2 linked regions of the Arabidopsis thaliana genome follow. The protein of the gene in region 2 purifies or fractionates together with the protein of the main gene of each other region. This does not show direct contact. Each region holds a gene or a part of one and is shown on either strand. Other genes may lie near its edges. The genes, in order: AT1G72810 and AT1G17160.

The links.
Region 1: the proteins of AT1G17160 (region 2) and AT1G72810 fractionate together in Arabidopsis thaliana (co-fractionation; one large-scale study listed by BioGRID). This does not show direct contact.

What each region holds. Positions count from the first base shown.
Region 1 is NC_003070.9:27,393,404-27,410,000, forward strand, and holds AT1G72810 (Pyridoxal-5'-phosphate-dependent enzyme family protein), read right to left. Parts: upstream 7,072-16,597; 5' UTR 6,991-7,071; coding exon 6,379-6,990; intron 6,296-6,378; coding exon 5,357-6,295; 3' UTR 4,871-5,356; downstream 1-4,870. Other genes in the region: AT1G72790 (hydroxyproline-rich glycoprotein family protein), read left to right, coding at 1,445-3,130; AT1G72800 (RNA-binding (RRM/RBD/RNP motifs) family protein), read left to right, coding at 3,863-4,870; AT1G72820 (Mitochondrial substrate carrier family protein), read left to right, coding at 10,054-11,103; NF-YA3 (nuclear factor Y, subunit A3), read right to left, coding at 12,296-12,682, 12,767-12,940, 13,029-13,103, 13,185-13,276, 13,388-13,685; AT1G72840 (Disease resistance protein (TIR-NBS-LRR class)), read right to left, coding at 16,101-16,544. UniProt on the Arabidopsis thaliana protein: Catalyzes the gamma-elimination of phosphate from L-phosphohomoserine and the beta-addition of water to produce L-threonine.
Region 2 is NC_003070.9:5,858,539-5,875,135, reverse strand, and holds AT1G17160 (pfkB-like carbohydrate kinase family protein), read right to left. Parts: upstream 7,602-16,597; 5' UTR 7,459-7,601; coding exon 6,796-7,458; intron 6,603-6,795; coding exon 6,417-6,602; intron 6,292-6,416; coding exon 6,096-6,291; intron 6,016-6,095; coding exon 5,921-6,015; 3' UTR 5,700-5,920; downstream 1-5,699. Other genes in the region: GSTU25 (glutathione S-transferase TAU 25), read right to left, coding at 2,178-2,528, 2,614-2,928; GSTU24 (glutathione S-transferase TAU 24), read right to left, coding at 4,445-4,786, 4,927-5,241; AT1G17150 (Pectin lyase-like superfamily protein), read right to left, coding at 7,641-7,871, 7,960-8,478, 8,638-8,946, 9,280-9,429; AT1G17147 (VQ motif-containing protein), read left to right, coding at 11,186-11,482; AT1G17145 (RING/U-box superfamily protein), read left to right, coding at 12,895-13,098, 13,195-13,246, 13,335-13,380, 13,470-13,551, 13,650-13,800, 13,897-13,963, 14,298-14,364, 14,447-14,785. UniProt on the Arabidopsis thaliana protein: Catalyzes the phosphorylation of ribose at O-5 in a reaction requiring ATP and magnesium. The resulting D-ribose-5-phosphate can then be used either for sythesis of nucleotides, histidine, and tryptophan, or as a component of the pentose phosphate pathway.

The sequences.
Region 1 (16,597 bases), about 22 Mb from region 2:
TATCGGGCATGACTAGAAATCATGTGGGCTTTGCCCGCGCAGGTTCGAATCCTGCCGTTCACGTTTTTCATTTTTTTTTCTGTTATCATCACATTTTCCATAACTTACCTTAATCATCTAACATTTTAGAGTCTTTACGAAATGTTAATATTTCTTTTCTTAAATTGAGTAGAAATAGAAATCAACCTCATACCTACAAATGTGGAAGTGACGTGTGAAACCGTAAGTGTATTTAAATCAAACTTAGAAAGCTGTTAATCATTGGCACCACATAAAATCTAGCTTGTGAGAGAAAGTTTATCGTTTTTAGATAAGTTATCAAGATAACAAGACTTGATTAGATTATAGTATGTTGCCTTTGACGGTTTGGCCTGGCCATTTGTAAAAGCCACGACAACACCGGCTCTCATATAATTATTAAAAGACTAATTAGTAATCACGGCCTCAGCTTCACATAGAAAACGTGTTTATTAACACGTTAGACATATGATTCCGTTGAACAATTTTGATTATTTGACGTACCAATCTGTATTTGCTTCATGTAATCCAGCTGTATTAGTAGGCCTTTCTTTGTATTTCCCATTTCCAACTTTCACAAGCAAATACCACCATTTTCCAGCTTGTCTAACAAGTTATTAAAATAAAAATAAAAAATTCCCCCAAAAAAATCATGTGTCAATTGAACCTTCTCTTAGGCATGACCGTATGACCAAAGTTTGGTTCGGATTTTAAAAGATCAAGATTTGACAATTCTATAAAAAAAAAATTTGGGTGTAAATGTCATTTGTCTAGAGTATGGTTAAGATACTAGAACCTTTTTCTTTACAAGTTCAAAATTCAGAATTAAAAAAATGTAAGATTTTCAGAGTTTGTGGACATCAAATTATCAGGTAATATGGATAGTTTGTGAAAATTGCAATATCTATCTATACAACTAATCATTGTGAAACATACATTTAGGACTAGGGAGTTAGATACTGTTGTGTTGCCGAGACTCAAACTCAAGAACTGGTCAGATGTACCGAGTAAAGTTGTATATAGTCAACTAGTACATATTTGAACATTATACAATTAATTCAGATATCCTCTACGTAAAATGCGCAATGTATTTTCATGTAATAAATAAATATATATGCAAATTGATGAATTTGACATAGATATTCAACTAAATACGTCAATTATCCGATTGCTTGTCTCCTATAAAAAATCTCTAAAATACTCCAAAGACATATTTTTTGTTGTAAAAAATGTGTAAATTAAAGTAAGAATCCACAGAAAGAAAAAAAAACAAATAAAAATGACCAAATCCAAGTCCCCAAGCATTTTAAAAAACAAATATCAATCCAAGCAAAAGCATAAAAGCAAACACATTACAGCATCGTAAGCCAACCACTCTTAAACTAAAAGTTGTCTTTCTAATCAAAAGCCAAATAATAGAAAGAGTATGGAAGAAGATGATGGAGACGCGTCTACGCCGTTTTGGCTTCAATCACGCCGCAATAACACTTACTTCCGCCGCACTGCAAGTCTCGGTGGCCGTACAACCACCATCGCCACTCAAATATTCTTCGCCGGAACAGCTGCAATCCTCATAGTCGTCTTCATTATCCCTCCTTTCTTCTCCTCTGTTTCTCAGATTTTCCGACCTCATTTAGTCCGTAAAAGCTGGGATTATCTCAACTTCGTTCTCGTCCTTTTCGCCGTCCTTTGCGGCTTCCTCAGCCGCAACACCAATAATGACGAATCCAATCATCACAAAGAAGAAGACATTCGTAACAAATTCTCGACTTCACCATCGATTATTGATCGAAGAAGTCGTGTATCTAACAGTGGTACAACGCCGCGTTATTGGAACGATGATCGCGGTGGTGGCGGCGGTGATCAAACGGTGTACAAGAGGTTTAGTAGATTACGAAGTGTTAGCTCGTATCCAGATCTGAGGCTCCGGGAATACGAAGCCGATGAACGGTGGAGATTCTACGATGATACACGTGTAAGTCAATGCCGTTATGAAGATGTAGATCCGATCTATCCAAATCAAAGTTACAGAAACTGGCATGAGGAAGGTAAACCACCGCCGGAAGATGTAGATCAAACAGAGGACGGTGATAATGGAGAAGGAAGTAAGGTCCGTAACGGCGGTTCGGAAACTGAGAAAGTTGAGGTGGTTGCGACGGCGGAAGCTGAAGTAGTAGAAGAGCTAAAAGTGCCTTCTGCTCCGCCGTATATTCCGTCTCCTCCGCCGTCTCCGCCACGTCCTCCACCAGCGAAGCAAGCGAAGAGAAAGACTAATAGAGTGTACCAAGATGTTTCTCCACAGGAAGAGAAGAAAGAAAGAGATGATTTTGTAGCGACGACGACGCCGATTCCACCTCCGGCGACTGTGTATCAAAAGAGCAATAAACAGGAGAAGAAGAAAGGAGGAGCAACGAAAGACTTTCTGATTGCGTTACGGAGAAAGAAGAAGAAGCAGAGACAACAGAGCATCGATGGCCTCGATCTCCTCTTCGGCTCCGATCCTCCATTGGTCTATTCACCACCACCGCCGCCGCCTCCTCCACCACCTTTCTTCCAAGGGCTTTTCTCATCCAAAAAAGGTAAAAGCAAAAAAAACAATTCAAATCCACCGCCTCCTCCTCCTCCACCACCACCTGAACGGAGATATGAATCACGCGCATCAACCTCGAAGCTCCGAAAAGCTCCGGTGGAATCACGGACATCCAAACCAAATCCGCCAGCTAAAGTAACTCAATACGTAGGCACAGGAAGCGAATCACCACTAATGCCGATCCCGCCGCCGCCTCCTCCTCCGCCGTTTAAAATGCCGGCTTGGAAATTCGTGAAGCGTGGAGATTACGTCAGGATGGCTAGTGACATCAGCATAAGCTCCGACGAACCTGATGATCCGGATGTAGCTCAATCAGCTGGAAGTAAGGAGGCCGCCGGGAGTATGTTCTGTCCGAGCCCCGACGTAGATACCAAAGCCGATGATTTCATCGCAAGATTCAGAGCCGGACTCAAATTGGAGAAGATGAACTCTGTGAAAAGAGGGAGATCCAATTTAGGACCCGAACCCGGACTTCATGAATCCGGATCTTCAACGGGTTATAGGCCCAGCCCAAGCGTATAGAGGCTATTTCTTTTAGATTTTGGATTTTTGGATTACTACTGTGTTGGTTTTTTTTACCTTACTTTTGTTTAGACTTTCTTATACGTAATTTTGTGGTGTATACAATTCCTAGTATCCGTTTTTACAGTTTTTAGCCCATCTTGGGATGAACCAAAAAAAATCTCTATACAACTAGTTTTTCTTGTAATACTCTCCATTTTTATTTTATTTTGAACTATGTTTGGATGGAGAACTTATAGCTTTGAAAAATATATTCAATATTTTTAGAAAAAAAAGAAAAAAATACTATAGCTTTAATTTTATATCATCAAACAAGAAACAAATTGATAGGTATTTATAAATATTTAATTTGATTAACTCAACTTTTTAATACACAGCCAATTGAAACCCCACTTCTTTGCCTTTTTTAGTCGATTCCACTTTTTTTTCCCTTCTAAATTAATGAAAAAACTTTGTTAACAATAAAATACATAATTAAAAAAACATTTGTAATAATTTAATAATTTATCAAAAAAATAATAATATGGCGGCAATGTTGCGTTACAAAAACGCCATCTTTTATGTAATTGTAACCTAATAACAGCAACGTGACGATGAACCACCACCGAGTTGCGTTAGAAAAACGCCATATATCTTTTATGTAACCTAATATATATATCTTAAACAACAGGCTTGGATTATTGTCTCTCGAAAACCTAAAATCGCTCTTTCTCTTTTCTTGTCATCTTCTCCATGGCTGAGTCTAGCAAGTTATCCGCAACCACAGTTGAAGCAGCTCCTGCTATGATTAAGGCCAAAGACGTGATTTCTCCTTCCGAGAAGGAAGAATCTGATCAGACGGAGATCACGAAAGTATCCGTCTTGAAAAACCTTGATGAGAAGGAGATGATCAAAGAATTCGCTGATCGTCTTCAGCGTCTCGAAGCAAAGGTGGATTTGTTGGTAACAAAGGCGGATTTGTTGGCAATAAAGGCGGATATACAGGAGCTTCTCATCTCAGCCAAGGGTGAGAAAGTTCCTGCCATGAAGACTTCTGCTAAGGCTTCTTCTGAGAGCGATGACTCATACATGGACACTTCTTCGGAGGATGAATCGTCTTCTGCTGAGGAACCTGTAAACAAACCTGCTGCAAGTGCCGCCAAGCCAGCTACTAAAGATTCTTTATTCTCTGCTGGTTTCAAGCCAGCTGCTAAAGATTCTTTATTCTCTGCTGGTTTCAAGCCAGATTCTTTATTCTCTGCTGGTTTCGAGCCAGCTGCTAAAGATTCTTTATTCTCTGCTGGTTTCAAGCCAGGTTCTTTATTCTCTGCTGGTTTCGAGCCAGCTGCTAAAGATTCTTTATTCTCTGCTGGTTTCAAGCCAGATTCTTTATTCTCTGTTGGTGTCAAGCCAGCTGCTAAAGATTCTTTATTTTCTGTTGGTGTCAATGGTCGATCGTTCTCTGTTACGGGATTTGACGCTTCCCTTCCTGTGGATGATATAAAGAGCGCATTGAGTAAATATTTCAGTTCTTTTGGGGAGATCACACGCGTATTTGTTCCCCCAAGCCACGGAACCGGTGGTTCCTTAGGATATGCTTACATTGATCTGAAAGAAGGAGCAGAGAAGGCGTTGGAACTTGGTAGACATGACGTGGGAGGATGGGATCTTGTAGTTGGTAAGGCTGAACCGATTCGCAGTGGAAGTACTTGGCCTTTTCCTGGCCGTTGTGGTAATCAGGGCCGTTGTACCTTCTGTTGAAGGCTTGAACCTTTGGTAGTGCATGAAGGAAGAGACTGCTCGTGGAACTAGATCACCTAGTTTTACTCCCTAAAGTAAGAAGACTACCTAGAAGAAGAGGAACGTTTTAAATTTGTATTACTTGGGAGTTTTTTCTTATGTTCTAGTTAAGTTTTTGACCCAATGTTAATGTTAACTCAATTTTGAGTTCTTTTGGTTTTAAATAAGATGAAAAAAATTCTTGAAGTTAATTTTCTAGATAAGTTTATTGTTTCTTAAAAGATTTAAAAGAAGAGGTTAAAAGACAGGTCGTGAGTACTTTTGTTAAGAGCATATGTAAAACTCAGTAGTAGTTTGATATGAAACAACTAGCGAGCATCACGGAACCAACCAGTCGTTTTATTCCACAAGTCCAAAGAAACGAAATTTCATTACTTCCTCTAATAACAAAGCCAACAATATCATCATAGGACGTGAAGAGCTTTAGAAGAAACAAACACACAAAGCTTATTTATCATTGCTCTTCAAATACTCCTTGAGAACATCCATAACTGAACCAAACTTTGCCTTAACCTTCACTGGTGGATTCGCCAATCTACAAGCCATCTCCTTTATGTTCTTAGAATGATAATCAATCTTACTTTGTGTAAACTTCAATCCATGAGCTGTACTCACCACCACAGTCCGATCATTCGCTCCAATAACTCCTGACTTTCTCAGCTTCATCAACGCCGTCAATGCAACACCAGTATGTGGACATATAAACATACCAGTAGAATCAGCAAGAGCTGTTGCATCCATCAACTCTTCCTCTGTAGCTTCCTCAACAATCCCATTAGATTTCTTCAACGCATACACAGCTCTATCAATCGAAACAGGGTCACCAATCTGAATAGCAGAAGCAAATGTAGTGTTTGCTTTCAATGGATTGAAATCTTCTTTAAACCCAGATTTGTAATGCAAGTAAAGTGGATTTGCATTAGCAGCTTGAGCACAAACAAGCCTAGGGATACGATCAACAAGACCTAACTCTTTACACATATGAAACCCTTTGTAAAACGCATAGATGTTACCAAGATTGCCTCCAGGAACAATGACCCAATCAGGAACTTGCCAATTAAACTGCTGCAGAATCTCAATCGCCGCCGTCTTTTGACCTTCGAGACGGAGGCTGTTGAGAGAGTTCGCCAAGTAAATAGGAAGCTCCGCCGTAACTTCTCTGATCAAATGCATACATCCGTCAAAATCAGTGTCAATACTAAGCACAAACGCTCCGTTTGCAATCGGCTGCACAAGCTGAGCCATGGAGATTTTATCCGCAGGTAAGAAGACAATCGAGGGGATTCCAGCGGAAGCACAGTAAGCAGAGAGAGCAGCGGAGGTATCTCCAGTAGAAGCGCAACCAACTCCGATGACTGGTTTGTTCATTTTCCGGAGACGATTCACCTGAGAAACAAAAAAATAACATAAAGTTGTAAACTTTATTGAAGATGGTTATACAGTTGTAAACTTTATGAAAGATGATTCACCTGAGAAACGAGAACACTCATGCCCAGATCTTTAAAGGAGCCAGTGTGGCTGATTCCACAATGTTTCACCCAAAGATCGTTCATTTGCAGATACTGTTTACCAAATCTCTCAGCCCAGAAGAGATTTGAGTTTCCTTCAAAAGCAGAGACGATGTCGTCATCGTCGATCTCGGGGAGTACCCACTCTTTCTTCGACCACACGCCTGATCCGTACGGCCAATTTGTTTTACCGACGCGAGAATCGAAAAGGTTACGCCAGAATTCTCCGTCGTAGCGTTTCAAGGCGGCGAAATCATGCTGGACGTCGAGGAGAGCACCGGATTGTGAACGGTAGACGATCTCGTCGAGGGAGTAGGATTCTGTTGAAGAAGGTGGAGCGTTGAAAGGGACGTAACGTGCGGAGAGGTTTTGGAGTTGATGAGGACGGCGACGAGCTTCGTCTCGAATGTTCTCATCGGGTGAACGACGGGGTTTCTGTGGAGTCTGTGGAGGAACGGCGGGAGAGGCGGAGGTGCAACGGACGGTGAAGGAAGCGGCGGAGTGAGGTTTAAGTGAGGTTTCAGAGTGGGAAGGAAAGTAGGTGGCGGAGTGGGGAAGAGAGAATGAGGCCATTATGAGTGAGAGAGAGAGTAAAGTGAAGAGTTTGATGATATTGATTGGATAGAAGAATGATTGTTGACACCTTTAGTCACAAGTCACAAGTAATTTATTTATAACCTAATAAATATTGGGACGAAAGTATTCATTTATTGTTTGTTTTTCATTTGTCATTCCAATTTCCAAATTATGTATATATCTCTCTAGTCATGAATTTTCTTTTGATGGTAGAGAAAGCACCAGGGAGAAATGAATCTTTGACGTTCATGAATCTAGTGTGAATTTAGTGTTTAAGATATCAAATATGCAAAAAAAAAAAAAAAACACGTATGTATGGAGTACATGAGACATGTGCCACACATGAAGTATATTCTTATGAGTAAAATGTTACTATTATTTGTATGGATTATTAGTCATGAATTTTCTTTTGATGGTAGAGAAAGAAGCACTAGGGAGAAATGAATCTTTGACATTCATGAATCATGTGTAAATTTTAGTGTTTAAGATATCAAATATGCAACAACAAAAAAAAACACGAATGTATGGACTACATGAGACATGTGCCACACATGAAGTATATTCTTATGAGTAAAATATAATGTTACTATTATTTGTATCTATTGTTCTTTGTTCTTCTAATATATATTTGTGATTTCGTCCCATTTTATTAATCAAATAAATATATTACAAGCGACGGAAACAAAAAATAAATAATAAATGTCACTATCTTTTTGTCATTTTAAAGGACAAAAATAAATAATGAGATGAGACTATGAGAGCAACATTCATACAAAGTAGACGACACTTCATAGTTCATATTAATGTATATAGGTATGGAGTTTATGATCTTAACGTTTTTGGAAAAGAAAAAGAAAGTAAAGGACACCACTAGTTATGGGTCCTCCTTTTCGTCACATTGGGCGGATTGGGTCAAATATACAGTCATTGTGAAAAACCAGCCCAATAAGCTTATACTTCAAATAAAAGACTTGAATTAGAATTGATTCAAACTCTGAATACCTCAACTAACCGTTGTGTGTTCTCTCTAAATTTGGGTAATAGTGTTTTGGGGTTTGGGAGAGAACGACACAATAAATGAGAAGGGATCCCTTTTCTGTATTTTAAAGCGTTTTGATAGGGAACTTGAGAAATTTGATTTCATGATTCGTGTACTTTTTTGTTATGTTTGTGACTCGTGATCTTTTGCTCGATAAAAGCTTTCCATAGTTTTTGTTGGTGCTTTAGTCTGTGGAAACTGCTTATGATTTGGTTCTTTTATCTCCAAGTTGTGGGCTGAAATAATGGTCATCACCAGTTGATACAGAACCAACAGTGTTGTTCGTCACTCAAGCCCATCACAGCTATAATGTTCTTTTTGGAATCAAATCACATGGTTGGAATCAGTCTAAGCTTGTCTACTCACTTTAACATCTAATCTGTTGAAGATAAGGATTAACGATGTAATAAGTAAGCGTGGACCGAAAAAGAAATGTAGTATATGTTTAGGTAGTGGGCATTTCCAAATACTATAGTATTGATTTCTGTTGTATATTTGATTTGATACTAAAATATGTGAAACTCCCAAAGCTAATTAATACTATATTTTTGTAATCAAGTTATGTCAGTAAATGATACAACGACAGAAAAATGATTTCTGTTGGTGTTTGGTAGTATCATACTATTGTCCAAGGACCACCACTGTTCCTATAAATTTAGCATCTCTAGGAGGAACTCTGATAAATCTTTAGATTCTTTTTTCATAAAAAAAAATATAGCTCGAACGATAGTGGAAGTGTAACAGTGAAAAAGAATCAAAAATCACGTGACAGATCACGTGCCTCTCACACTGCCTTCTGCTCTCTTCTCTGCCCAACGACCCAAGGATATGGACGCCACGTCATCTTATCCAAATCACAAAAGCGGATCCATTTTCTCTCTCCTCTGTTGGGTCTGATCCGAGAACAAGATCTTAGCCGTTGTTTTCGATGACGACCTTTTAGCTTTTTTCTATCTCTGCCGTCGATCTTCTTCGTCTTCTAAGAGTGCTCCCAGTTTGTCGCTTTCTTTATCCGTAAGAGTTTAAGACCTTAGTCATGAGTGACACGTGTCACCTGCCAGCATCTGATTTTTACCAGATCTTCCTTATTTCCTTAATAAATCCTTTAATATTCGATAAAAAAAAATCTGTAATTCAATCTTAAATTAAGCAAACCAATTTGCACATCGTGATCATTTTCTGATTACATTTTGCACAATATGGAAACAATATAAAATCCATTGATGATACACTTAGTTGAATCAAAAACTAAAACATTTCCACTTTATTTGTTTCGGTTAGGTCAATTTTAACCGGTAAATTTGAAAACTGTAAATGGCATTTTGTTACATAGAGAAATCAGCTAATCGAACCGGAAAATGCAAGCCGGTTTATAATCTATACCGGTATCTCAATTTGGTATATTTACAGGGGGAAAAAAACCGGAACCCTAGACTCGCTCGTAACAGTATAACTGTATAAGGTCTCATTTTCGTGTGCTCTCGTCGCGATTACTCTCTTTGAGCTCTCTCTCTCTCTTCTAACATCGGTCTTGTATTGGTGCTTATTGGATATCTCCGGCGAAGGAAACGAGTTTCGCGGTTAGATTTTTCTTTATCGCTTACCGGCGAGGATGATCGTTTCTTCGGTAAGGTCGATTAATCGGTTCTGTTTTCGAAGATGTTGTTGTTAGAGTTAGATCCGCATGGTTTTGGTGATCGTTTTGGATCGAAGACGTGGTTCCACAGACGCAAAAAATGCCGTCGTCTCTTGCTTTGAGATTTGGCTTCTGAAATCTTTCCTCTTTCGTTCTCGTTGAATCCTAATTTTTGTTTTGTCTTTTTTAGAAATTTTTGGTCTTTCTAATCCTGGGGATAGGTTACAGTCTCCGATTGTAAATAGAAATTTGCGGCGAGGTTAGGAAAAGTTGTACAGATAGAGATTGAGCTCTGAAACACATCTCAGGAACATTTTTTGTTCCTTGTTTAAAAAAGTTTTTTTTTTTGTGTGTGTTTCTCTGGGTTGGTTAGAAAGTGGCGAAGATGAATTTGGGTGCGGCCGAGGAAGAATCGGCTCAGGAGATTCATTTACCAGCTGATATCAATTGGGAGATGCTTGATAAATCCAAGTTTTTCGTTTTAGGCGCTGCTTTGTTTTCAGGGGTATCTGGAGCTCTTTATCCTGCGGTTTTGATGAAAACTCGGCAACAAGTGTGTCATTCGCAAGGTTCTTGTATTAAAACTGCGTTTACTCTTGTGAGACATGAAGGTTTAAGGGGATTGTACAGAGGATTTGGAACTTCTTTGATGGGAACTATCCCTGCTCGTGCTTTGTACATGACTGCCTTGGAGGTTACTAAGAGTAACGTAGGCTCTGCTGCTGTCAGCTTGGGGTTGACAGAGGCTAAAGCTGCTGCTGTTGCTAATGCGGTTGGAGGTTTGAGTGCTGCGATGGCTGCACAGCTTGTTTGGACTCCTGTTGATGTGGTTAGCCAAAGGCTTATGGTTCAAGGAAGTGCTGGTCTTGTTAATGCATCAAGGTGTAATTATGTTAACGGGTTTGATGCATTTAGAAAGATCGTTCGCGCTGATGGACCGAAGGGGTTATACAGAGGGTTTGGGATATCGATTCTGACTTATGCGCCGTCTAATGCTGTTTGGTGGGCGTCTTACTCTGTTGCACAGCGGATGGTTTGGGGTGGAATTGGGTGTTATGTCTGTAAGAAAGACGAAGAAAGCGGGAACAATAGTACCACGATGAAACCAGATTCTAAAACGATAATGGCTGTTCAAGGAGTTAGTGCTGCGATTGCTGGAAGTGTTTCTGCTTTGATTACAATGCCACTCGACACAATCAAGACGAGATTGCAGGTTCTTGATGGGGAAGATAGTAGTAACAACGGGAAGCGTGGACCGAGTATTGGACAGACTGTAAGAAACTTGGTTAGAGAAGGTGGATGGACGGCTTGTTATAGAGGATTGGGACCAAGATGTGCTTCAATGTCAATGTCTGCAACAACTATGATCACTACCTACGAGTTCTTGAAACGGCTTTCTGCTAAGAACCATGACGGGTTTTATTCTAAATCATAGTGATAACAACTGGGAATCCACATAGAAGAATCTTTTATGGAAATGTCTCTAGTTTTCTTACTTATCTTGTTCTTTATCTAGCTCTTCTGCTATTTCATTTGTTTCCAGTCATATGTAAGGAATGTGTTAAATTCAGTTGTTTTTAAATAAATAAATGTTCTTTCCACATTGGCTTGAATTCAGTTTCCAGGTATCGGTTCACCATAACCGTGCTACTAAACCGACATGATATGTTGCAATGTTAAAAGATGACTTGTAAGACTTTATTTGGCAATTGCAGTCTTACATCAATAAGCACACACGACAAGCTTTGATTTGGCAACATGTTATATTTAGAAGTAATTCATGAATCACTTGCGAAAGTGATATGTACAGGATTGTGACTTTATATATTTCACAATGCTGTCTTTTTCTTTACAGAAGTTAAATTATGATCATTTGTTAGTATTTGAGGGACACAAGTGTGTGTGTATCTGTCCCATAAGTCAACGTGTTTTGGAGCAGTATTTTACGTTTCTTCTTACCTTATCAAAATATTATATCTTAAATAGGAAATAATGCATAGAGACTGCCTTGATATTTTGAAAAAAATATTCATGAACGTGTGGAAGAAATGGTAGTATTTTCAAGTGTATGACATCTTCTCAGACAGATAAAATGAGACTCAAAGTAGAATCTTTCAACCTTTTTTACTTTATTTATAAGAAGTGTATCAAGAATAAGACATAATCTAATATATACTGGATTCTTCATTAAATGTTTTCTTAAACATTGTCAACTAAATTGTAAAATACTTCAAGAATCCGAATGTGTCTCTTCACAGAAATCAATGGAGTGGAACCAGAATCTGTATTTTTCTTCGCCATTTTCAAACAGAATAAGGAGACTTCTTCATTGCCGACACAAATGAAGCAAAAACAAACATATATAAATCCTGAAAAAAACAAAAGAGGAATTGAAAGTTTATCAGAAGAATCATATCACTAGTTTAGACAAGAGATCCATGGTAACAGAAGATGAAAAGGTAATAGAGTGTTTCAAAGTGAAGATCTTGGTCGTTCTTGTGATGTCTAACACAGACATAATATGAAATAAAAACACTGAAGTTACAACAAGCGAAAGAACTAGTAGTAGCCAAGGATGACTTCCCCTTCTTGGTGGGAACATGAACACAGCACCAAGATCCACTGTCTCAGATATGGACAGAGAAATGGTGCATGTCTCCACCTCCATGCATGTCATTAGACTGACCATGAACAAGCATGGCTCGGTTTATCGGAGTTGGGAAACCTGAAAACTGGAATTCAGTGTGTCCAAAGATATCAGCACCGTCGGAAACAGAGGTGATGTCTGAGCCAGAAGTGGTTGAGCTGCGGTCTTTGTTGTTCTGCAGCATATGAGCTTCGAATCTAGACATGTTGGTCTTTCTGTTTACCTGTTGGCCTAACTTGTCCTGTTCTTGTTCTCTAGCAGCAGCCTGTTCGGATTCTTGAAGAAGTTTTTTGGTGTTTAGGAATCTTCCACCAGATCCTCTTGGCCTTTTAAGAGCATGAACATGTCGAGACTCATGAAGATAGGGCTGTTGCAATAAGAAAAAGAAAAGATGAGCAAAGCAATTCTACGTGTATGCGTTTGTTTAAAATATAAACCAAAATTTGGTAACTACCTTACGGGCTCTGATTAGTTTGTTTTGAGCCTCAAGCTTAGCACGTTGCTGTCTCCTCCTCATAATTGCGTGGTATTGCTTCGCATTGACAAAGACTGGATCAGTTTCTGTGAGCTCTGCTGGTAAAGGAACACGACCAGGAATCATACTCACCATTTGAGGATTGCATGTCTGCAAAAGAGATTAAGAGACTTGAGATCTGATGGACAGATAAAACTGAAAGGTAAATCTCCCACTTGGAAACGAAGGGTGTACTTACTGGTGCCTGTGGTAGGTAAGTTGCAGCTAATAAACCACCATAATGTGGATCAGCATAGTGAAATGAGAAATTAGCCTGAACCATGTATAAACATAAGATATCAGTCTACAATCAAAAGCTTTGCTATGATTACTGTATTCATAGAGTTACAAATACCTGTGCAGGAGCAAAGTGAATATTCGGAAATCCAGTCATCGAGCCTTGTTTAGGATTACTTGCAAACCCCTTCCGTTGAGTTATTTCAGATCCTAGAGAAACAACTGAGAAAGTAAGAAAGAGGATAACATTCTTTATGGCAAAAGGATGATTCTTTTGTCAATGACACAAGAAGTAAAACATATATATACCAACAATCTAACCTGATTTAGCCGAAAAGGAGATTTGTCTGGAAGGATTATCATCACCACTACTAGCAACTTCAGTATAAGATTGACCAGTGGACTGTGTTGAAGATGAATCTTGGTCCTGAAAACTGATTTGCTTTGTAGTTTGTATATGCCCAGGTCTTGAATCAACCTTCAAGCTTAGTGATTCAGCAGAACCGCGACGATTAGCAACGGAATCAGTTGGAACCACTCCCCAAGAGATGCTAGTATTAAGGTATGGCAAAGTGGAATGAGTAGCTGAATCTTTCTTATTCAACATCTGATGCATCATAACGTCTTCCTTAACAAGCTAATTATTCTCACAACCAACAACCTAAATAACAATCAAAAATGACTCAAAGATTAGATTTTTAAAGCTAATAATCCAAGTGGGTGAAAAAACCCAGAATAGAAAGAAACAGAAGTTGGAAGTTTCTAAATTTGAGTAATTTTTTAATTCTCTAAACGAACTGATTCGATCGTACTATCTTGGGTAACCAAAACACGATTGCAGAGATCGCTACGATTGGCTAAAATTAGTAATTTTCCGACCAAGAAAAATTTCTTGTTCCCGTCATCACTTTTGGGCAAAAAGTCGTTGACTTGAAGATGAATTATTTTAGCAAGAATTTTTCAGAATCAGTAAACATCAATCGCACGCCACAAGACAGATACACCAATAATCGAACAAAGAAAAAAGGAGAAAAATTTGACAGAAATTAAACATCTTTTTTTCGAACAAAGAGACTACAGATGCAGAAAGAAATAGATAAGAGATAGAGAAAGAAACCTCTTTGAGTAATCGATGAAGCGAAGAAGAAAAACAAGGGATAGAGATTTATTTTTGCATGTCTCCTTTTGTCAAACAGAACCAAAGTAAACCAGTTTGTCTCTCAGAGTGAATCAGAGAGTGATCTTCGTATGTAAGATCTTCTTCTTTCTTCCTTGTTTTGGTTCGTCTCCGTCTCTTTTACCTTTCCTGGGAAACCAACATCGCCATGAGAACCACCACTACACCAGCTTCTCCTTCTGGGTTAATTATTGTCTTAAGTGCTCTTAATTATTCATTTTAAATATCTTAATTTATTTGGTCTCACTTTAACCCAAAACACAGAATAAGGCTCTCTGGCTAACCCTACCTTATAGAATCAATTTACCCCCAAATAACGATTAGAGCAGACTCTTTTTTTGAAAATCTTTATTAATACGAAATCGTCCAACTATATTAGATTCCTAAATTCCCTGACACAGTTTTTAAATTTTATAATTTGGAGGAAAAACACAACAAAAATGATTAACAATTAAAAGCCAACAAATAATGTAATTCTGGAAAGGTAAACGTACAATTCAAGATTTTTTTTTCTCTAAAATTAATGATTCCTATCTCTACAAAGCCGTTAAGAACTTTACCTTTATTTGTTTTTGCTCATTTAGCAGTAATGTATTATGAGCCATGTATTATATATACTAGTATAAGGTTTGTTTTATATTAACTTTTCCCCCATCTTTTGTTACGAATATAATAACTACGGTTTGTTTTGGCTGTATGATTTCTTAATTTCCATTATCTCTAATAATGATTCCAAAAAAGTAATTAGCTATCTTGGCCACGTTAGCTTTTGTTTGATTATATTTTTAATTTGTATGAAGCTTTTAAAATGTTATTTAGCTTTTTGTCCAAAGTGTATTGTCGTTTCCAGACTAAAAACATTTCTGAACTCTGAACAGTCCTTAATTTCCCCCTTATGCCTTTACTCGTTAGTCTTTAGCCGCCCCTCCCCATATTGATGTCACACGCTCTCCTAAGCTCGTGATTCACACGCTCTCCTAAGCTCGTGATTCACACGCTCTTACAATTTTATCATGGGAATAAATAACACGAACAGTTTTAATTTACAAGTTATAGACCTGCAACCAGTTTCCTTGAGTATAATAGTTTAATGAAAGTGTAAGCATGTAAAATGAGATGGGAAAAAGGATTGTATAATACTAAAACTTAGGTTGGGTTCTTAATCAAGTACCTAACCTTTTTTGCAATGAAATAAAGCTCTAGTGCAAGTCAAGCATAGGAATCCCTCCTTTATCCTTGGAAGTAACAAGTAACAACCAAAACATAATAATTGTTACTTGATGTTTTCTTAATTAGTTTTTAGCATTCCTTTATTCCCTCTGTTTAATGTTTATGGGCTTTTAAGCCCTTGATTGATCCATAAGAATTAGGACACGTGGGCACTGGATATTGGGTACTCATCAGTCCGTCATCATCCCATATGCACCAAAATCAAAAGTTATTCACCTTTCTTTGGACCAAAATCAAAGGAGATTCAATGTATTAGTAGTTGTTTTGCAATGATATTTAATGTAACATTTCCAGTGAGAACACAACTCCTGTGGGTTTGGCAGCTCCAACTTTTCTTTCTCCATTTCTAGCCTGATGAAATACCAGAATACAATCTGGTAAAGCTTGTTGAGCAAAAAGGGCAGACATCGAGTACAAAGCAGAAAGAAAAAATTGGTTCTCTTAAAAGGAAAAAAATAAAATCAAGTCACAATTAAACCGAAAAATACCAAACCGATTATAAAAGCAAACCGACACGAGGTTACATGGGTAGTAATTTATTTAGTTCCAAAACGAAAATTGGTACAAATCCTTGTGTTTAGAAATCTGCAGATCCATCATCATCTTAAGAATTGATCTCCGCACCAGCTACTTTAAAACGAACCCAACGTGTTCAACTCCACACAAAATTATCTCGTCGCCCGGCTCCGGAACTTGGATATGGGATTCGAATTGCACCTCATCAATTTCTGCGCTGATGATGCCAGTTGGGATTTGGACAATGACCAGGTGATGCCATTTATATGGTCTATTATTGTTGTCCTCCATCATCTCTGATGATTGATAGAGATTTGGTTTGAGGTTAATCCGATATAACCTGCTACCTTCACAGTCCCAATTATAAGAAAACGCTGGAAACTGTAGATGGAAGGGCTTTTCGCAAACAACCATGATTTGGACAAAGAATCCCACAAGCTTGGGGGCAGCTTTAATCTTAGGTAGTTTGATCCTCATAGGTTCCCTCCATGAGGTTCGCATATTGTTGGTAGAAGCAATTGAGTATTTCGTTATACAAACAAGTCGAAATGGAGCCTACGTGCAAAATGAGAATCAATCAAGTCACAACTTAAAAATATAGCTTATGA
Region 2 (16,597 bases):
TTTTATAAGCTTTCTTCTTGGGAAGTGTTTTATTTTGTTCCATAAAAAGGAGGGTGATAAAGCTTGACCGTACCATAATATAGTCTACTAAAATGACGTTTAAAGTAAAAAAACGCATGATAGGATAGTACTGGGGTGTATGATTGAATCCGCTGTACCAGTCCCATTTTTTGTGTTAGTCTTCAAAGAAACTGTATTTGCTCGTGGTAAGAACGGTATTGAAGATTCAAACTTTTTGTTAAGTTTGAATCTGAGGAAATCACACAAATTTGTTATGCTTGTGTTGCGTTGTAGTTAGCTTTTTTTTTTCTTTTTTTGGTATTTCTCTGCTACTTATATCTCTTTTACTTAATTCCAAAACTTTAACAAAAAAGGGTAAACTTATTTAACACAATTGAATACATTATCTTTACCTAATGCTAATCAAGATGCATCGGTTATTTGATTATGTATAAATTATTGTATTGTCAAGTCACATGTTTTAAAATTTTAAATAATACTCTCACTCGTTTTTATTTGTTTTTATTCGTTTCAACAACTAATAATATTTATTCGTTACATATTACATCAAGAAAGTGGAATTCACTAATATTCAATTCAAAATATCTTTGAAAAAACTTTTTTATTTTAGAATGATTTGACAAAATATTTTGAATTGATAAGCCTATTATAATTTTAATACTAACAAAATAGATTTGAATTGTATGGCAAAAAAAAAAAAATTTGAATTGGAAAACTCTTTTAACAGTAACTAAGAGCTTACAAGTACAGTGAAAACATATCTTTTGGTTGTTCACTTTTGTAAGATGATGTCTGGAGACTCAATTTTTCAGGACAACGAAAAGGGTTAATAGTTTTCTAAATAAATAATTTTTGGCTGCAATACAATTTACTCAATTAGACCTTCTCTTCATAGTTCATAGACAAATTTGACATTTGTTATTCCAGGCTAAGACAGGTAGTATTTGATTTTCAAGTTTCACGTGGTATTTTAATAAACTGATTACTGATCACCAAAAAGAGGCTGAATACTTAATGATTTTTCGAACCACGTTTAAATTGTCTTTACTACAAATATTTAATATGGTTTTCAAATCTGATCATGCGTGGAAGAGGCTCGAGCTAACCTTCTAGGTAACGTAGAAGGTTTTGAGTTTAGATTCCCCTTCCTAATGCACCACTGACGATATTCTTTATTAGAAAACCTAAAAACCATTGAATGATTGAATCCGAGACTGATGATAGCGCAGCACAACACAACACAACAAACGCGCTCCACAGTGGCACAGTCCACACTAAAACAACTTCAGAGTTAGTTCTTATCATTTAGAAACATATAACCTACAAAAAAGGCAAAACTAAAAAAAAAAACAGAGCAATAGAAAACAGAAACATAACCTACATAAACATAATCCAGCAACGGTAGTCGGATGGTTATTGGTACTTGGGACTTGGGTGTACAAACTACAACGTAAACTTGTTTTCCTCCAGATTCGATTCCAATTATTGGTTCGAAAAATATAATAGTACAATTAAACTTTAAAGCCCACTAAGACCCAAGTAAATAGACTATCACGGCTAAACTCAACACACTGATTTTGTTTTTGGGCCCAAAAGCCCATTATGTTTTGGATATTCGGATGGGCTATATTATAAAGGATTCAGTCCAATGTTTGAAATTAGTTGATTTGGTCTATGACTATCAAACAAAGATTACAAATTGTAATTGTCATTACTCATTAGTTTTGGTTTAGTACAGCCTCGATAATTTATTCAGATTTGGCACTCCACCAAAATCTATTTTAATAAAATCAACAATGTAGTCGGTTTGTTAGTTTTTTTTTTCTTTGACGCTTTGTTTTGATAATACTATAATAGTAATTAGTAAGGGGAAAGAAAAAATAAAACAAATCGATTGTTTTAGATTTTGGATTGGATTTTCTTGGTACTGGTTTAATTCGGTTTACTAGACTTATCATCGCAATGAAGATCTAAAAAATTGAAGCTAATGCAACGTATTACGCATGCTTAACCACCCCAACCGAATTTTCAAGTAAATATTTGTATTATTTTGATGACATTATCTTAAAGATTTCCGAAACAAGGAAGAAACAGAACATGAAACAGAGCAGAAACAGCAACACAAACAGAAACATAAAAACATATCAGCGTAGAATCTATTCGATTTCGATCCCAAGTTTTTTCCTTAGCTCAGGAACGAACTTAATGATCTTCTCCGAATCAGGAAGAGACTTAGCCACACTCTCTCTCTCCACACACCTTTTACCCCAAGCAATCAGTTTTGGACACTCGGCTTCAATGCTGAAACTCCCAAACTTCTCATACGCTTCAAACCAACTGTAAAATCCAATGAGAGCTATATCAACATAACCGAATGTTTCACCTCCAAAGTAAGTCTTGTCTCCAAGCTCAGACTCTAGTGTCTTGAGTATCTCGATGAACTCCTTCTTCCCCGCCTCATGCTCTTCGCCTTTAGCTCCCCAAATCAACCTCGCTGAAGCATACACCTAAGCACATTATACGAAATATTAACGTCTATGTCTTGCCTAAGAAGGGTTTGATTTTTAAGCTTATTTTTGGAAGATAGATTACCTTCTTATCAATGAAATCTCCCCAAAATTTGGCCTGAGCTCTTTGGTAAGGATCAGAAGGAAGAAGTGGGGTTTTGCTAGGCCAAACTTCGTCGATGTATTCGATCTGGATGAGTGATTCACATACCGGATTACCATTGTGGATGAGAACCGGTATTTTCTTATGAACCGGATTCATCTCGAGGAGAATCGGGCTTTTGTTCCACAGATCTTGTTCTCTGTAATCGAATTTGACATTTTTCTCTTCTAAAGCAATCCTCGTCCTCATTCCAAACATGCTCGGCCAGAAATCAAGAAGAATCACCTCGTCTGCCATTGCTGTTCTTGATTAAGCTCACTAAGATATTTTTGTTTGTTTGTTTTGTGTCTAAGTATATTATGGTGAAGAGAACAAGGTTTTGGTCAATTTATAGAGGAGACAATAACTCAAAACTACAAACGAAATCGCATTTGCTTGCCGCTAAAGTCAGAAATGCATTAACGTGCCCATTACACTAAATCTCATCGCACTAAAGCATTTTAATATGAAGGGAATAAACTTTTGATTAAACATTTTCTTTTCATTAGCTTTAGTTTAAAAGTCGTCAGAGATTATTTAGCTTCAATACTTTGTGTTATTGAATATGAGTATATCAACTATCAAGGGGTTATACATACCAAAAAAAAACTATCAAGGGGGTTTGTAATTTATATGTTGAAATTTCATGTTGATTTCTTCTCGTGTAAAGTTTCTCGTACTTTATATTAAAATGTGGAATTAATAAATATTTTGGTGTAAAATTTATGTGACAAATTTTAAATCAGAAAGCTTAAACCTAGAGATTGGTAACGAGTAGTATACAATTATTTAGTTGAACAACTCATTTATTAATGTTTTGCGGTTCAAGACATTGACCACATGATTCACAGAGTTGAATTGATTATGCCACTGCTTACGCCATCATACCTTTTTACCTTCACTTTTTCCAAACTTTTTATTGGTTACTTTTCTTTGGTTAGGACTATATTTACTTTAAGGATGACGAAAAAAAAACAAAAAAACAAATTTTAGCTGTCTGAAACCTAATAAAATTGATTAATATACAATTATACATACCTCTTTTTTAAAAATATAGAGTATATGCATATCTCATTATATGTGTTTGGCATCCATTTCCCATTTCACATTGTCCCCATTCTTGTATCTTTTGTGCATCTAACGACAAAAATAAAATAACCAATAAACGATTAAACAAATAAACGGTGTAGAATGAGTTTGCATGGTAAGATATAATAACTATTTGCTTTTAACATTTTTTCCAATACTTCAAAAATCAAATGATTAAATGACTTATCTTTGGGCCAAATATCCAACGATTTTTAGATGTGTCTGGTTAAAAAGTTCTTAATCGGGGTTTGCTAATCGGTTTAGTTTCACTTCAGTTTTTTTTTCTTTGGCTCAAAGTTTTCACTTAGTTTGTTTCATTCTTGTATTCTTCTTTTCGACCGGTTTAGCATTTCTCCTGGTTATTTAACTAAGTTAATCATATTTTTTGAATCACGATCGTCAAATCTTGTTCACATGTGAGGTTATTCATTGAATCAACGAATTTAATCTTTATCATATATTTACGTCGATTTTGGTATTAGAGCAAGCGCCGTTATGGCAACCAGATTAATGTACCAACAATTCTCCATTGAATGAACATCACAACAAAGTTTCTTTTATTGAAATCGAGTTTACATAAAGGGAAATATAATCTCACAAATTGAAATTGGTATTATTATGCATTACATAGACCTCAAAGAAAATAGAACAAAGCAACAACAGATCAACATAACAAAGTAGAGATTTACTCCAACCCAAGTTTCTTCCTACGTTCGGAAATGAATGTAATGACCTTCTCTGACTCAGGCAGGGCTTTAGCGACGCTCTCTCTCTCCAAACACCTTTTGGCCCACGCAACCAATTTCGAACACTCAGATTCGATACTGACATTTCCAAACTTCTCGTACACTGCAAACCAGCTATGGAATCCAATGAGAGCTATATCTACATACCCAAAAGTTTCGTCTCCAAAGTACTTTTTGTCTCCAAGCTCAGACTCTAGCGTCTTGAGTATTTCGATTAACTCCTTGGCTGCTTCTTGCTCCTCACCTTTGACCGCCCAAATCCTTCTCGCCGTAACATTCACCTGATCCGTTGGTAAAAACAAAAAACTTACACAAGAGACTCTAGCGGAAGAAACCGAACCAAACCAATCCAAAATACTTAAACCGAAACCAAAACCTAGAAACAACAAAATAAACCAAAACCAAACCGTAAATTTTCTACCTTTTTGTCGATGAAGTCGGCCCAGAATTTGGCATGAGCTCTCTTGTAAGGATCGGAGGGAAGGAGAGGGTTATTGTCGGGCCAAGTCTCGTCTATGTACTCGATCTGAATGAGAGATTCACATACCGGTTTACCATTGTGGATGAGAACCGGAATTTTCTTATGAACCGGGTTCATCTCGAGGAGCAAGGAGCTCTTATTCCATAGATCTTCTTCTCTGTGATCGTACTTAACTCTTTTCTCCGCCAGAGCAATTCTTGTCCTCATCCCAAACATACTCGCCCAGAAATCCAGAAGAATCACCTCATCTGCCATTGTTGCTCTTGATTAAGCTCTCACTACGACCTCTCTCGTTTGCTGTTTTGTGTCTATATGTGTGATGAATAGAAAATATGTTTGGTAATTTTTAGGGGTTTTGAATCGCATTTTGCTTGCTCTTAAAGCCAAAAAAGTTGTATTAAATTAGTTCTACAGTTGTTGTTCGTTGTTTGTCTTCTTTAAGTCGGATTGTTTTCTTTCTTTCCTTTTGGCGCACTTGATTACATCATTTTTTTGTTTGGGTGTCACTCATATCAATACTATGAGTTTTGCGAATAATAAGTCAAAAATTCCCTCTTTACTTTTTAGGTTCTTAATATTGATCAGTATTCAGTTTTTTTAATGTAATGTTCACATATTTTTGTTAAATACAAGTTATATTATTTTGACAACAGATTTATGTGAGAAATGAGTGTTGTACGCTAATCTTTATTTAATTATAAAGATTTTCGATAGTTGCTTTCAAAGAAGAAGAAAAAAGAGATTCTCGTTAGTTGCTTAGGCCACTGCCTGCGTCAGCATGCTTTGGACAATTGACTTAACTAAGACTTGTTTCTGGTGAATTGTGTTTTTGTTTATAAAATTTGAGTGAAATGAAAAAGAAAAAAAAAATGAAAATAGAGGATGAAATCTGAACAACTTTTATTGATAAGAGGACTTGAAAAGAGTATCAGTTTTAGATACTAAATTTAAGGAGCTTCAAAACAGATTTTCGGTCAGGCATGCTCGGTATTGCACCCTTTACTTGGACACAAAGAGAGGCAGCTGCAGCTGCAGGCATCGGAAAAAAGTGAGACAAAACTAATCTGAATTACGGGTTAGAAAACCAGATTTATGTCACTAATTATTACCAGCAAATCTCAAGCATTCCTCATGGGACTTGCCCTCTACCATAGCGACTGCAAATGCTGCAGTGAAAGTATCCCCAGCTCCTGTAGTATCAACCACTTGTGCAGCCGGTATGATAGACTGCTGGATTGGTTTTTCCCCTTGTATGAATAGTGCAGATCCTTTGGACCCGAGTTTTACTAGAACTTGCTTAACTCCCTGAGGAAAACATAGCCTTAAACCTTTTAAACCCAAAAGCCACTAAACCAGCATTTTCAAAGAGTCCAGTAGCAGCAAGGATTAGCCAAAATTTGGAGTTAATAATGTGCAAGAAAGGGACTTACCAACTTATGGCACTTTGCAACAGCTTGGCTAATCTGTTCAAAAGTTTCAGTTGGCATTCCTGTCAAGCGACTGAGCTCAGTTTCATTGGGGCTCAAGATATCAATGGAATCCAATAGCTCATTTGGTATAGGCGTATCCATTCCTCCCACATCAAGGATGACTGGAACACCTGCTTTCTTCACAGCCTGCAATAAAACCCACCAGCAGCCTAAGTTTCTTCGAACATGATATTTCAAACATAATCAACTCTATAACCCTATTCCAAAACCTCTCATAGTTTTCAAAACCTAAAGCAGCTGCATCCATTCAACAGAGCTTCCCTAAACCCTAAACCAACTCTCACTGAAGTAACTAACTCAAGAAAGTAAAAAAATGGACCTTAGCAACTTGAATATTGATGGAATCTGGGATCTCCCTTTGCAGAAGCACAATACCAGCATTCCTCACAATCTCAAGATCATCATCGCTCATAATCTCAGGCCAAGCTTTCATATTTGCACCACCAACGATAATGATCGAATTCTGACCGTCCGACTGAAGCATCACCACCGCGTGTCCCGTCGGCTCATTATTCACAGATCTCACGTAGTCCAAGTGAACCCCACACCCATCATCGCCCAACGCCTCAGCTATTAGCTTCCCGTGCGCGTCCTCTCCCAAACGACCAACGAAGTAAGTCGGATACATTAGCTTCGCTCCACACGCCGCCTGATTCGCGCCTTTTCCTCCGGCGAGCGTTTGCCCTGTCTTGGCCGAAATCGTTTCCCCTTCCTTGGGTAATCTCTCGATCTCCACATAGATATCGGCGTTCGCAGATCCCACAACCACCAGTGGCGGCGCGTGTGCGTCAACGGCTGATTTAGGATTCCGATTTGCCGATGGATCGGCGGAGAGTGAGAGAACACGGAGGGATCGAGGGCGGGAAAATCGAGATTGAGCTGGATTGGGATTCACAGTACTGATCTGAAGCTGCGGTCGATTGAATTCGATGTATGGATTATAATTGATCGATTGAGAAACTGAAGAGATCCCTTTCATCATCGTTATTTGATTTTTGGCTTTTATGAAATCGCTGTTATGTCACAACTCAGAACCAACAACTAAACATATCTGAGAATTATATGTAAGTTAAAGATATATCCATGTTTGTTATGATCATTAATGTTATTTATATGTTAACCAAAAAATAAACAACATGAGTACATGACTATGTTTGGACTGGATCAACTTAGACAATGCGGAGGAACCATCTTCCCAGTAGCAGATCCATCAACGTTCTCACACAACGCACTTGCAGGACCGTCGACTCCATGGTGAGTTAAGTTAATGTCAATTAACTGAACATCTTTGCAAGGAAAGGTTTTGCTACATTGAAATTTCACAGCCACTTTATTCTTTGATGTTCCCCAAATGTTCTTTAGTGTCACGTTTCGGATCTGAATGTGAGAATCTCCCTGCGATAAAACATGAACTAACATGTTAATTTTAAAGTCGATGAAGATTCTAAGAAGATAGAAATTTGTTTCTTGCATAGTAAGTTACCATATTGCTGCATGGCGGGTAAGGACAGTATTTTTGATCAATGCCGATAGGATTTTCAACATTTATCATCTGTAGATTCTCATACACTAAATTGATAATTCGGATTGTTGAAGCTGAAGATTCCCATGTCTTGATCCGTATACCGTTGGTCGTACCGGTAAAGACCGAATTTCTAACCATTAAACCATTAACATTCTTTTCGTCTTTGTTTTTTCCTAAGCTTCCAATACTAATTCCATGTCCCGGTCCGCACTTGACATTATAGATATCAAAATTTGTGTTTCCAGAGAGCATTGCGATACAATCGTCTCCGGTGCTGATGTGAGTGTTTGAGATTTGCATGTTACTTGATAAAGCTATTTTGATTCCGTCAGTGTTGGGACTATTGCTGGGAGCTATTATGTTGACTCTAGTGATGCTGAAGTGGTCAACGGATAAGAAATTGAAGTGTCCGGCTTTACTGTTGAGTGATGTTATCCCATTCATGCTTGAGTTTTTTACGAAATCGAACCCCATATTCTGCAAATGTATCAAAACACCATGAAAATATGATTAAATCAAGTTTATGTTTCAAGATTCTCTTTTTAAAAGTTATATATATATATAATGACATAAAATATTCAGTTTGATCCATAAAAACAGTAGCTATAAAAAGAAAGTTCAAGAAAGCGTACGTACTATAGCGAGTTTGGGACAATTATTGTCCTTCTGGCAATCAATTAGTGACCATGACTTTTTTCCTTGGCCGTCGAGGGTGCCATCCCCGAAGACCGTGAGATAGTTGATGTAGCGGAAGTTTATCCATATTTCCTTTTTAATGTCGTCGTTGTTCGGAGGAGCCAACAAAGTTCCATCAATGACAAACGAGATCTTACCATCGCATGGTCCTACAAACGTTACACCACCAAGATAGAATGTTCCTAGTGGTATGTACATTTTGCTTGGTCCATTCCATCTGCATGCATCTTTCCATGCATTTGTGAACGCCTTATATGAGACATTACCAAAGAAGGTAGATTATTTGTAAGACAAAAACTCTTAGTAACTTATAAGATTCAATTTTTTTTTGTTACACACACACACATAAATGAATACGCTCTTCAAATAACTAAATAGAAAATATGTAGTTAAATTGAACTAGTTAATTTTAATTAATCCAAATATTAAAAAGCAAGTAAATAGCCCGTTATTCTTTTTTTTTGGAAATAAAAGGTTTATTCCTATTTTTTTTTTTTATTGAGTCAATCGACATTCTATGTGAAATGAATGAAGAAGTTGAGAAAGAATATTTAGTTAAAGAAAGCAGAAAATGTCATTTACATTGGTGTTATCCATTTTACCGTCACCTTTAGCACCATAACTTCGAACGTCGAATACTTTTGGCCGAGTGATTGGGCGACTTGTTGTGACGGCGATGAGCAAGAGAAGCAAACCAAAAGCCATGAACACAAAATCAATGCACGGCGCCATCTTCTTCTTTTGGCACTGCATGCTTCTATTTATTTCTCTGTTTTTCTTTTTGTTTGTTTTTTTCAACCTTTCTCTTTTTTTTTTTTGGATTTTTGAAATAACAAAGAAATCTGTACTTTCTTTAAAAGACAATACGATTTGGTCTTTTTAAAAGAAATACATCGTAAGGAACTATATATGCTAAGAAATCTGCGAAAAAAATTTGATTCTTGTTATACCAATTTTGGGCTAAAAAAACAATTTCTTTCTAAAATCTTCATACAGCAAGATAACGATTCATATATTTTATTTGTCTTTGGGGTCTTGATCTGGTGAGATTAGTTGTATCAAATATTCTTAAAATCATGCAACAAATTACATCAATGCAGTAAAAAACTACTATATATATTACCTTTATTTTGACCAAAAAATAAATAAATATATATTACCTTTATTAAAACAACTACTAAATAGTAATATATGAATCGTTATCTTGCTGTATGAAGATTTTAGAAAGAATTTGTTTTTTTTTAGAAAAAAAAATATCAAGGAAAAAAAAAATCAACTACTAAAACCTGTATACAGTTTATTTTTAGTTTGCATATAATATAAAAAAAAACACTTATATAGTTATATACATATCAAGGAATCTATAATACAAAAATCGAAATATGCTTATATACCAATGCTGAGGAATCATTTTTTTGTTACTGAGTAACGTAGTCACATAGACTCCAAATTTCTTATTTCTTATAGTATTCTAAAGATATCAAAACCTGTTCTGCATATGTAAATTATGTATGCATCTTAGGCTGGTTTCACGTTATGTAATGTGATTCCAATATTCCATCAAATAAGGCGTGCTTTGACCCATTACACTATATAATACTGATTCTTTCGATCGATATTAAATAAAGGTCACATAATAATAACAAAAGCCCATTTATTATTTGGTCCGTCAAGGCTGCTTGAATGTTAACGGTCAAACCTGTCTCACCCGTACAAGAATCTCGTCAAAGACCAATACAATAAAATTGAAAAGACCACAAAATAATTTCCTTATGGTCAAGGAACATACAAATGAACATAAAAACATCTAACAAACTAGTGTAAAAATAAAATAAAAAAACTATCAGATTTGTCTATCAATAATTAATGAAAAATATTGGTGAAACGTTGCAAAAAATAAACCCCACATGTGTATAGAAATTCTTGAAATAAGTGACAATCTCCAGTTTCAGTTGACCCCGTCGTTACAAAAACTCTAAAATAGATTTTATTATATGCAACGTTTGATTAGTTTTTTTTTTGGTAAAAAACGTTTGATTAGTTGATTCTAATTTCTTTAAATAGTGGAAAATTTGAGCCACTCCCTGATATCTAATCAGTATATAATTAGTCATTAGTCATGAAAGCATATGATCGTAACTCCACACGTAAGCAATTTCTAGAATCAAAATATCATTCGATCTATATAATAATATTCTTTTCCAATCCACAACTATGGATATAGAATATAAATGCTATATCAATAAAAGAATCTGCTCTCTTATCCATATAGTTCATAATACTAATTAGGAGTCCCCATGATAATAAATGTTTCTAAACAATAACTAAAAATCAATAAAATGATAAAAGTTCGGTCTCCCCACAAATATTATATATATTCCCATATATTTATCTACACATATAAATACAACCAATATCGGGGAGATTCAAAAGGCATACTACTCAATAGAGCAAACCAAAAGAAAAAATCTCATATAACGCCAAAAATATGTCTGCAGGAGTGAGATCTGAACCGATGAAGGTTGTCTTCATTAACACACAGTACGTTCAGACAGATGCTCGGAGCTTCAAGACAATTGTTCAAGAACTCACAGGTAAAAACGCAGTCGTCGCCGACGGTCCTTATGAATTCTCCGGTCAAGGGTACGGTGGCAAAGATTCATCACAGCGGTTTTGTGGCGTAGGAAAAGAAGCAGAAAGAGGTGTAGAGACGACGGAGTTCGATAGTTTTTTCAGAGAGATGCCTCCGGTCGGCGAATTGTATAATCTTTGGTCAGACCATTGACTAGACTAATAATTCGTTCTTTTTTTTCCCACAATATTAAGGCCCATTGGGTTTAATATTATTATCTCAAGCCTATGTGAAACACGAATGTTCCTTAGAAGGTGAACTTCTTTTTTTTTGCTTAATGCATTAATGTATTATACTAGATTTTAACCTGCGGTATACCGCGGAGACAATTTATTTCCTTAAAGTTAGTATATATAAAAGTTTACAAATTTTATCTATCTATAAAATATTTTTATTTTATAGTTTACAATTGTTATTAAGTAGCTTCCTGCCAAACCCGTCCCGCCAACCCGTCTCGTAAAAAAAACTATTTATTTTATTAATGTTGATCTTATTTATGATATGTTTATGAATCATTGTCTAAATATTTTGTAATTTTGTAGTAATTAATTGCTATCAAATATCTTTACGGTTTGCTGCTTATAATCGAATTGTTATAGTCATAAAAAAAGCAATATCAAAAATGATAATTTTGTAGTATTTAAATGATATTAAATATTTTGGAAATTTTATTTTAGTAATTAATGGTATAGTTAATGCAGAGAGATTTTAGAAAGGTAGTTAAATGCAAACATTTAATTCGAAGATTTACTTTCTAATTATCAAAAACAATTATTAAATGCCAGTGGTAGCCACTGTAAATAAGTCTCAACTTGAAAATTTATTTCACAAAGTGGCTGCAAAAATGTATATGTAGATTATCTTTCACTTTTTTAAAAAAGACAATCAATAAAATCATTAGTAGCATAGTTTGTTTATTTTTTTTGAAAGTTTTTTTTCGACCCTTATATTATTTTTTGAAATAAATATTTGCAACAATAATAGTCTATCAGATTTTACGACAAAATATCAGAAGGAACAAAAAAAAAAAGAAGAAGCGTGGAGAAAGTTAACGCGCGAGAGGGGCGCGTGACGATAAAGAAGAGGAAGAGTGAAAACAAAAGAGATGACGACGATTCATTTCTTTCGTATCCGACTAACTCCACCGTTTCGTTCTTCGTTCTTCATCGGATCTTTCTTCTTCACGACGACAACATTACTGTATATCTCTTTCGCAAAGGAAAAGTTCTGATCTTTGTATTCTCTTATCATTCGTTATCTAAGTCTCTTCGATTCTCGAAGCTTTTAAGGTTTCTTCTCTGACTCAAACTTTATTACTCATTTATATTCAAAGGGTTTGCAAATTTTCTTCTGTTTGAAAAGATTTGTTGCTTCAATTCTTATCAACGGTTGGAATTTAGGGTTTTAAACTTTGTTTGTTAGTTTCGGAAAAAAGGAAATGGCTTTGGATTGCTACAAGCTCTTTATTGCGTTTTGTGAATTGTAGAAAGTGAAATTGATTTCTATTTGAGTGTTCTTATTATGTCTCTCTACTATCTTAATTTCAAGGCATTTAAAGAGACGAAATGGGTAATAAGCTGGGAAGGAAGAGACAGATTGTGGACGAAAGATACACAAAGCCACAACAAGGTTTATACATGAGCAAAGATGTTGACATTAAAAAGCTTAAGAAACTCATCTTAGAGTCTAAGCTTGCTCCTTGTTATCCTGGTCTTGAAGAAACCCCCTCCTCCCATCATGATCTTGAAGAATGTCCTATTTGCTTTCTGGTTTGTTTTAAGTCTTTCCTTTTTTGCTTACTTCCTCATTCAAGAAGATGAAATTGACCAACTCTCATGCAATTTTTTGTTCTTCTGTGTTTCTAGTATTATCCGAGTCTTAATAGGTCAAGATGTTGTATGAAAAGCATTTGTACAGGTGAAGAAATGTATTTGTTAGTCATCTCTGAACTATAGAATGTTTCTTATCCGGTGTAGTCATTGACTTTGTGTTTGGTTTTATACAGAATGCTTTCTGCGGATGAAGAGTCCTAATTCAGCTCAACCTACTCAGTATCCTTTTTCTTATAGTTTGCATTAAGCTTTTGGTCTTCTTTACATATGAAAATGTCTACTTTTGAGTCCTCCTTATCATATGTAAGATGCCCTTTTTGCAAAACATCCAATTATGCTGTCGAGTATCGTGGAGGGAAAACTAAAGAGGAGAAGAGCTTTGAACAAATTGTAAGCCAGACTTAAATCTTGAAACAGTATTGTTTTTAAGAGTATGTGATGGAATTACTGGCTGATTCTGCCAATATTGTTATCTCTGTGTTATGAAGGAAGAGCAGCGAGTTATAGAAGCCAAAATAAGGATGAGGCAGAAGGAAGTTGAAGATGATGAAGAAAGAATGCAGAAACGTCTGGAGTCATATTCTTCTAGTTCTAGCACTAGTGCAGCGACTCTTGATACAGAGTATGGTTCTGCTGCAGGTTAGTTCTTCTCTCGGTTTCAACTTTCAACATGTGTTAAATTTTACCACTTTTGTTATTCTTGGTTCGCAATCTCAATCAGTAGCTTTTACGCAGAGGATGATGAGGAAATTGTTTCATCTCAAGAATCATGTCTTCCATCTCACCACCCTCAGGTTACAAGGTTTGTCATTTTCCTAGAAATGGACCTAAATGACTTTTATGAGTATCCATGCCATGGGGTTGTATGAACAGCCTTTTTCTCTATTTAGCTGTTAAATTTCATTTGTATTAGTCCTATCTCTTGAGAAACTTTGATGCTTCGAGAACCGTTACAGTTAAAACTTAAAAATGAACCCCTTCTTAAATTGTCTCTTATTAGTCAGTTATGGTATTACATTTTCAGATCATTCCTTTCTGGCTAAAGTTATATGCACAACGGTAATACGTGTTGGAACTTTGAATCTGAGTGGTTCATATCAGGTGACTGATATGTGGTTATCTGGAAAACTCTTCAGGGACGGTCAGTTTGACTTTGATCTTGAAGATATAATGGTCATGGAAGCAATATGGCTTTCGATGCAGGTAATTTGTTTGGTTAGTAAACTTTGAAGTATATAGCATTTATCTGAATAAGATAAGCCTAACTATTTTCTTTCTTTAACAGGAACCAGGAATTCAGAGAAACACATCACCTGATGATATTTCAGAAAAAGATCGTAATGAGGAACCATCAACTCCGTCATCATCATCTCCATCAGGTGGGCTAGCTTGTGCAATTGCTGTTCTTGCCGAACGTCAGCAAATGGTTGGCGTATCTTCTTCGAATCAAAACGTTAACCTTGCATCACAAAACCTTGTTCCAGACAATGGTAACAACAGTCATTACAATGCCATAGAACAGGATAGTAACCATTACCTTCAAGGAGCAGGAATCAGCTATACAAGATCAGATATGACTGATGATAGCGGCGGTGAGACTTCCAGGGAAGTTACATGGCAATAGAGAGTTCCCAAAGGTAAAGAGGAAAGCTTCAAAGTTGTTATATAGTCTTTTGTTTATATTATGTTAGCGGGAGTGAATGGTTTTAGATTGTTAGTTAGTTTTGAGGGTGTATGTTGATCACTTCATACATGTGCCAATAAGAAAAACCAAAACGATTTTCAATTCCTCCTACAGAAGGTTGGTTGTTTGGTTGTATTATTATGAATGGTAAGCATTGCACAAAAATGAAATGAAGAATATAATTTACAAAAAAGGGGAATATAAATCGTGATTCCGTGAGATTCCATTATTGGTAAAACCTTAGCATCAATGAGGGATTTTGCCATTTTAGCAATTCCATGTATTTTTATCAATGAAAGCAATAGTTTGGAAGAGTTTGTGATGAATGGGGGATTTGCTAAAGGAGTAAAAGAATAGTTAGTTAGTAGTTGAGGAAATGTCAAGAAAGGACGACAAAAATGAAGATACACATGCTTTGGTCTCTTTGATATTAAATGAGAAGAGAGAACATAAATTGAAGTGTGAGTGAGAGTGGTGGTCATCTTTGGGAGTTTAAGGGTTTTTTTAGCCTTGAAGTGATTTACTTAAGAGTTCCTCTACTCACATGCTTTTGTCTTTCATTCTTGAATAAGTACACTTCACCTTTTTCTTACTTTAGAGCGTCCATTTACATTTAATTTCCAACAACTAATAAAAATATGTTTGCTCTAAATTATTTATTATAGTCGCATTTCTACTTTTTGATCAACCCATGTTAGGTCGAATTCTATTGCGTTTATATTCGAAATGGGAAATGATCATATTAAGTTGTTAACAAATATATAATGAAACTGATTTTTTAAGGCCGTGAACTGAATTTTAAGGTGAGTGATTTCGTATAGCATTTTTGAACAAAATGATAGAGCCAGCTACAACTAGTATAGTAACTAATGACATTGACCAAAACATGAAATCCAAATTATTTGGTAACAAATTAACAATAATTGTTTATTGATATGGACACCCATGCCATCAAATATTAAACGGCGATTCAATGCTATCTACATAAAATAATACAATTTGTAATCTCGTTTTCATTTTTTCCTTATAAGAAGCATCAAATTGGTTTCTCGACGTGTTGGAGATCACAAAAAGAAACGTCGAGATTAGAGAAGGTTTATAATAAAATAGAGGTTTGTAAATTGAAACATGTACAAAACCGACAAAAAGAAACAAGAGTGTCAGAAATATTGATATGTAGGTAATATACATGTGTGTGTATTTATGATAAACTATTGAAACTAATTATGTGACATAAATCCACATTTATATGCATTTCTCTGGATATATCTATTACAAAATAAATATACAAAAATTAAATATCCCATATTGATGGTTTTAGGCTTTTAGTGTTAATTCCTGAACTTTATATACATTATTATTACTGATCTTTGAAATTGTACTTCAATGATTTTACCTTGTACTCATTTAAAGGCACATACCGTATATTGATATATATCTAGGGAAAACTCACAAAAACTACAAAATTTACATGATGCTTATAAATTTGAGAAATAACATCTATATTCAATACGAACATTCACATTCACTCTTGTATTAAAATTACATTTTTTAGATCATTTTATAAGATGGTTTACAATATAAAACAAAAGAATGAAACATGCGGACTTTATATACATCATGGTTACGTTACGTGTGTGTATATGTGGACGTTATTACAAGACTTAAAATTATACTTTTGCCCTTCTCCTACCCAATGGTCCCTCGATTTTAAATTTGATCAGCTTTATTTCAAATCTTCAAAAATAAAAT